2 linked regions of the Arabidopsis thaliana genome follow. Each later gene encodes a partner of the first gene's protein in a complex. Each region holds a gene or a part of one and is shown in the gene's direction. Other genes may lie near its edges.

Region 1 (3,757 bases):
TTTTAATCTAACAGTTCGTTCTGTCACATGGATCTTTCAGACCAGTACAGTCGTCCTTTGCAAAGATTTATCAACTTTCTAACAAAAAGAGAAGCTACAGAAAGTAGAGAAAATTTTGTACTTTTGAAGTAAAGAAAAAAAAAAGAAGTAGACAAAATTGTGTAGGATTCTTCACGGTTTTTGCATTCTTCTTTATTACCAAGTCTTCAATATTTTCATTTCAATAAAACTTCCCCTTTCTTACAAAGAACTCTTATTTTCCATTTTTCTTCACATTTTTCCTTGCAAGATCACTCATTTTAATTTATGTAAATGATAGAATTTGAAGATCCATACTTCAGCAATCTGTTTTTCTTGGCATGTTGAGTTTTTATCAACAACACCAATTATTATTTTATTTTCTCTGGTTCAAGAAATTGTCTAAGCTCCATTCAAACATTCTGTACTTATATATAAAGTTTACATCATCACATATTGTGCATCAAATAGCAAAGGTTTTGGCAACATACATATAATATGAATCGTGCTTGTACACACACACACACTCATGTATATATATGTATTTATTGTTTACCCTTGAACAACATTTTTAGGTAAGGGGGTCTTCTATCATCAGGAAAACATAAGGTAGATGAGGTAACATCTTTAGATTCGTTCGAAGTAGAACTCCTATGCATTTGATCAAATTGTTTTCTAATTAAGTAATGCAACATTTAAACCATGTGCAGCACAAACGATGGCTTATTTAGGTGGATTTGCAAATCTTTTCACTCTTTAGGGCATATTCCAATCAACTACTGCTTGAAATTTGACTGATCAATGTGATGCAAAATTCACGGCATGGCTTGTTTTAGCAGCTAGTTTCGACAACCTAATCACCCGAAAATAACAAACAATCGGAAATGCAGCGCGATAAGTAGATATATGTCTGTGATCACCCAATTAGCCACAAAATAGTGTACTATGTTTGTGATGTTACCCTTTTACTCTTCAATTTTAAATACATATCTCGTTATAGTATTTTTTTTTTTTTTTTTTTTTTTTTTTTTGGGTAAAACTCGTTATAGTATTTCGTTAGAGTATTAACATTTGTGTAAACATAATTGTTGTCATTAATCGTGGGTCCAAATCATGACACATCACAAAGTTTCTTGGACTTGTTATACATGTTCCTTAAAATGATTAGTTATATATTATCTTAATAATCCTGATCTTTAAATCGAACAAATTTAGATTTAGCTTCTTTTTTTTTTGTTAAAATTTAGATTTAGCTTTACAAGATGTACCTTTGATTATGATAGAGGAAAATAACAGTATCCCACCCAAATACACGGTTATAATGAGATTTTCATGTATGTAGAAAAATCATCAAATTGTAAGAAAACAATTGGAAAAATTGAGTGTGTTGTTTTGAGTAGCAAAATATGAAGAATCCATCAAACCAAGAAATTAGCAAAGATGTAGAAAGGAAGATTTGGTCGATAGATTCACGGACGTATTAGAAATGACCACTTTCCGATACAATCGTCCCAACTAGGAAAAGAGTCAAAGCTTTTCGAAAGAAATTAAAAATTCCTCTATGAAAAATAAGTCAAGAAATTGTTTTAAAAATATTTAAGGGCCAAGTAGAAAAGGTCACATCTTGCCTTACCAAAAAAAGACAGTTCATTGAAATTTTATCGGGACAAGTTTACTATTTTTAATTAATGCGTATCTACTTCAAAACATGCGTAGCATTAACGGCGATTCCACGTCAATTTCATGGCGTCCACAATTTTTGTATAAGGATAAGAGAGTTACTTTTATATTTTTAAAATCTATTCTGAAAACTTTAAGAACTTATTTACATGAATACATGGTCAGAAATGTGCGAGACCATTGTTTAACTGGTTAAAAAAAGGATTTATTTACATAGAAATGGATTTAAATCACCTGTTACACTTTTATTGAAATCATTCTCTTATGATCATTGCATCGTAACTCGAGATATTTATTTTTCATGCTTTAGTTTGTTAATTATATCTAGTTTTATCATGTTCTATAACCCTTTTTTAGGCACTCAACATAAATAGCAAACCCCGATTTAGTTCAATTCGCGAATCAATTTCGTCTTGGTTATTCTTTTGGCTTTGGTCGTATTTAATTATGCTAGCTGCCAGATCTTAGGCACATCACTTTGTTTAGATAAGATTAGAACATTTCTTCACAGTTCACTTAGTCGTCACATATCAAACAAAGTAGACAACATTATAAATAAAAAAATTCCACAAATAATTTCTGCTTATATATATAGATATGTAACCAAATCACAAAATTCCACATAATTAGTCTCACATATACTTGTAACTAGTCAGACAAAGACAATGGAAGAATCAAACCGTAGTAGTACTGTCTTGTTCGACAAATACAACATCGGAAGACTTCTCGGAACCGGTAACTTCGCCAAAGTGTATCACGGAACAGAGATCTCCACCGGCGATGACGTGGCAATCAAAGTCATCAAAAAAGACCACGTTTTCAAACGTCGTGGCATGATGGAGCAAATCGAACGAGAGATCGCCGTCATGCGTCTCCTCCGTCATCCAAACGTGGTCGAGCTCCGCGAAGTAATGGCTACAAAGAAGAAGATTTTCTTCGTCATGGAGTACGTCAACGGCGGAGAGCTTTTCGAAATGATCGATAGAGATGGGAAGCTCCCGGAGGATCTAGCCAGAAAGTATTTCCAACAATTGATATCCGCGGTGGATTTTTGCCACAGCCGCGGTGTTTTCCACCGCGATATTAAACCCGAGAATCTGTTGCTTGACGGAGAAGGTGATCTTAAGGTAACGGATTTCGGACTTTCCGCATTGATGATGCCAGAAGGGCTAGGTGGCAGGCGTGGTAGCAGCGATGATCTTTTACATACGCGGTGCGGGACACCGGCTTACGTGGCGCCGGAGGTTTTACGGAATAAAGGATACGACGGAGCTATGGCTGATATTTGGTCGTGCGGGATTGTTTTGTATGCACTCCTTGCTGGCTTCTTGCCGTTTATCGACGAAAACGTCATGACATTGTACACGTAAGTATTTCTTGACCAGGTTTTGGCCCAAACCGTATTTGTTTTTGTTATTTATTTGACGAATAGTGAGATACAAAAAAATATTGAACTAAAAGCCAAAGTAGTCCATTTTGAGTTGGGTTTCTAGATGCATCTCAATTTTACATCACATACTTATATATGTTAAAAAGAAATAATAATCATTTTTGGTTAAATAAAATATTATTTGAAAGAGACAGTTTAACTTGTACCAATAGATACAAAACTTGGATATAAGATATACTATTTGAAAGTTTACACACACAAAAAGAAAAGATATATAGTATTTGAATTATTTGTTCACGTAATTCAAATTTTAATAATTACTCAAAATTATACAATATTTTCCAAGATATTGAAACTATTATCAATTTGTGAATATTCGGGTGGTATTTTAGGTACATTAATCTGATATCAAATTCGATAAATGTTGGTCGATCGTATATTTCATTATAGTTCTATATTATCAAAATTTCACGTCCCGTATTTTACTAGATAATTTATAAAACTCCCGCCAATAATAACGGTCTCAAATAGTGCTCTTCTTACAAATTCAAATATTAGTATTGTTGAATGTGAATGTGAATTGATCAAATTCTCATTGTTGTTTCTTGTTTGATTGAACCTTTCGAAATAAACAGGAAGATCTTCAAGGCGGAATGCGAGTTCCCACCG
Region 2 (3,757 bases), on another chromosome or scaffold:
TCTGTTCGATGAGACTACGTTATATGACAAACAATGGCAAGCTGCATGGAAAGAGCCAGATTCATCAACAGTTTCTTCAAAGAAGTGAACAAGTTCTTACAATCTTTCATTTTCCTTTTTTTGTTATGCAATAATCTGTGAATCAGTGAAAGTTTATCTCTACTGAACTACTGATCTTCAGATTTTGTAATCTTTCTGCTTTAAAAATCTCTATGAAGTAGTCTCAAAGATAATGTATCGAAGGTCTTTGACTTGTAAAGCAGACCTATTTCGTTTTGACGCTTGATAATTTAATCAATAAGAGATTTTATTTTTTTTAATATGCTTTCTACTGTTAATACATCATCAAATAGTAGCGTTTCCAGATGGATGTTTGTGAAAAGTCATCAAGTAAGTCATATTTGTGAATTAATCAAAACCGCACTTCATCAACCAACCAACCAACCTCCAAAGAATTTGGGCTTCAGTACTAACGTCCTTTAAGGGTGTAACACATTACTGCTCTGCTCTTATTGCCGCAACTAATTTGACTCAATTTTAAGTACAAAATGGACCATTAAACTGTTGTCACTTGTCAGGACCACCGGCCCAAAATTAGTAGGGACCTTAGGACAGTTTGATATTAGTCTTTTAGTAAAAAAAAAGTTTTTTTTGTTTATCTATAAGAAAATACAATATTTTTTTAATAGATCTTAATTTTCTAAAATATCAACAGTCTATGTTTATTTTTGTGTCTGATTTAAAAAAAATTAGTTAGTTATCAAAACTTAAAACAAAAATATTAGGTCCAGGACTTTGGCATCTCCCACTTTCTTGAAAAACATGGATACTGTATGGACCTTCTTGTTTACTATTGTCATAATCTTTTTTCTCATAATCTTTTTACTATACTCATAATCTCTCCTCCTCATAATACATCTCCCACTTTCTTAACACCTCATAAGTCTTCTCATAATCTTTTTACTATCATAAAAGTTTCTGCTTGTATTGGAATGAAAGAATTTGACCATTTAATTTGGAATTCTAAACCCAATATAAAATTATAAACCACTCTTACTAGAGCCAGGATCCCAGTTTCAAATTTAATATACGTAACATGCATGATTTGGCCATGTCTTATGGATATGCTAATCCATTTCTTTTTTTTAGGCGAACATTATATAGTTTACATTATTGGATTGTTGGATGGCGTACGTACTTAATTAGTTTCAAAATTTGATAATATACATGATTAGATCATGTCTTATGGTTTATATAAAAGTAATTATGTTAATCCATAATTCTTATTTAGACCGCCTTTATACTATTGGATTTTTGTTTGTCCTACGTGATTGATTAGACTACTAAAATGTGACCAGAATTATTATAATTCTTCGTTTATCCCAAAAGGTATATGACCCATATTGAAATTATTATCAAACACACTCTACATGAATCTTGAATATATAGATAAATACAGTAATTAGTCCCCTTGCTAGTTGGGTTATCATATTAATATTTATTTATTGCAAGATCTTGAAGACTATGAGATCTTGACATCTGTATGGATTATGAAAATGAAAGATCCAATTTGAAAATTATATCTTATACAAATAAATATCATTCTTAGTATCTTTTGAGTATGTTAAATCTTGACTCTACAAGTACTAGTTACCTCTCTACACTTTTTTTTTCTTACAGTTATAAACTTACATAAAAACAAAATTCGAGTCTAAATATTTTTCTTTTAATAAAAAAACAAAAACAAAACAAAATCATTGCAGAATTGTAAGAAAACTTGTAAAAATGATTAACTTTCTTAACCAATAAAAAAGGAAAGTTGAAAGTTGAAATTTCGAAACTAAAATGTCAAACAACAATAATGGCTTTGTTTTCTTCCCACACTGTAATAAAAATAAAATAAAAATGGGGTTGGTAGAAAAAAAGAGGTAAAAATGACAAGGATGTGTTTCACACGCGTTCAGACCCTCACACGTGCGACGATCATGTTATAAACAAACTCTCTCATAATTTCCCCAATCGGAGGCCTCTGACGAACAAAAAAAGCCCAGCAAAGTCTGAAGTTAATCTCAGCCGTCCGATCAATTCATCTACCATCGTGGTCAGAGATCTTCTTCTTCGTCTCTCTCTCGTTTCTCAAAAATCAAAATCCCTTCCTCTCTCTCTCTCACCGAGCCGGCGAGCCCGTTCTCTCGGTGGTAAGTGCTCAATTTTTCGATTTCACCATTCAGTTTCTGGGTTCGGAGATTCTCGAGCCGCTCCTACATTACCTGTTTAATTTCCGATTTAATATTCAAAATTTTGTTAATCTGAATTCGATTGCCACATAGCTGCTGCTTATTTTTTCTAGGGTTTATACTTATTCAATTATCGTGTTCGTCTTTTAATTCAATTTTTGTTGGGTTTTGTTTTTGATTGAATCATTGTAGTTTTTAAAGATGCTTATGATGATGATGGGGAGTGAGTAATATCAGAAATCAAGCTTTTTCACAATCTCAGAAATTGTAGTAGAGTTTGGCGATTTTATCAACCTCCGGAACAAGCTTCTTCTTCTTCGTTTTACTCTTGTCATCCGTAAATGGGTTGTTTCCATTCCACGGCTGCCAGAGAATTTCCCGATCACGAAAACCCTGTGAAGCTTGCTTCTGAGACTGCTTGTAAGTTTACTTGCACTATACGTTTCGTTTTCTCTTCTTTGCTTTATTCTCAAAGAGCATGAGCATAAAGATCTCTCTTTTATCAATTGTTAACTGATATGAGAATCTGTTTTCGCCATTTATTGAATCCGAAAAATGGTTCTTTCATTCATAATCTATTTGATCTACAACTTTGTTAAATGATGCTTGTTGTTACTTAAGTCATCACATAAACCTATTTCAATAGTTTCTTGGATCATTAGTGTAGTTTACTTCTACTTTCAAATGGAATCTTAATCAGAGAAAGTTTTCAAGAACCATCACTTTCGATTTTTGTTTTGGTGATATACATGATGTTGATGAGAAATCTCGCAGTGTGGCTAATTATTTGTTTGTTTTTCTAGTTAGTGTTAGTGAAGTTGAAGCATTGTATGAATTGTTCAAGAGCATAAGCAGCTCGGTTGTTGACGATGGCTTGATAAACAAGGTAATGATAAATCTCATAGCCCTTTGATTATTTCGCACCTCATGGGAGAATCTTGAATGCGTGATGTACAGTGACATAATAATATTCATTGCACCATTATCCATATTCCGTATTATTTGTCAACTTTCTTGACTTTCACAAATTTATTATTGAATCTCCATGCTGAGCTGTGGGCTCCTTATTGCTCACCAAGTCTCTGTGTTGATGATAGTTGACTTGAATTTTAATTCCATTTTTTATATTGGTTTGCTTATAAAAATTGATGTTTTCTTGGCCCACTCTTGGATATTGTTACTTATTTTCTCGACCAACTTGTTATGCAGGAAGAGTTTCAACTTGCTTTGTTCAAGAACAGAAAGAAAGAAAATTTGTTTGCCAATAGGGTAAATTCTAAGTTTCTTTGGCCTTAGTAACTTTGTAGTTAGTCGTAACGATTAGTTCTATTATAAGTAGTTAATGGTAATGCTCTTTTTTCCAGATATTTGATTTATTTGATGTTAAACGAAAAGGCGTAATTGATTTTGGAGACTTTGTGAGATCACTCAATGTTTTCCATCCTAATGCTTCCCTAGAGGAGAAAACAGACTGTAAGTTGACCCATAAACGAGTTTATATCCATCGTCGTTTCTCTAAA

The links. The genes of interacting proteins can lie anywhere in the genome.
Region 2: CIPK16 (region 1) and CBL9 share a complex: the UniProt entries of both Arabidopsis thaliana proteins name them as parts of the K(+)-channel calcium-sensing kinase/phosphatase complex.

The regions. Positions count from the first base shown.
Region 1 is NC_003071.7:10,671,217-10,674,973, reverse strand, and holds the start of CIPK16 (CBL-interacting protein kinase 16), read left to right. Parts: upstream 1-2,081; 5' UTR 2,082-2,363; coding exon 2,364-3,064; intron 3,065-3,723; coding exon 3,724-3,757. UniProt on the Arabidopsis thaliana protein: CIPK serine-threonine protein kinases interact with CBL proteins. Binding of a CBL protein to the regulatory NAF domain of CIPK protein lead to the activation of the kinase in a calcium-dependent manner.
Region 2 is NC_003076.8:19,130,549-19,134,305, reverse strand, and holds the start of CBL9 (calcineurin B-like protein 9), read left to right. Parts: upstream 1-2,001; 5' UTR 2,002-2,198; intron 2,199-2,429; 5' UTR 2,430-2,578; coding exon 2,579-2,657; intron 2,658-3,040; coding exon 3,041-3,123; intron 3,124-3,446; coding exon 3,447-3,506; intron 3,507-3,601; coding exon 3,602-3,710; intron 3,711-3,757. Other genes in the region: LIL3:2 (Chlorophyll A-B binding family protein), read left to right, coding at 1-88. UniProt on the Arabidopsis thaliana protein: Acts as a calcium sensor involved in abscisic acid (ABA) signaling and stress-induced ABA biosynthesis pathways. Contributes to the regulation of early stress-related CBF/DREB transcription factors.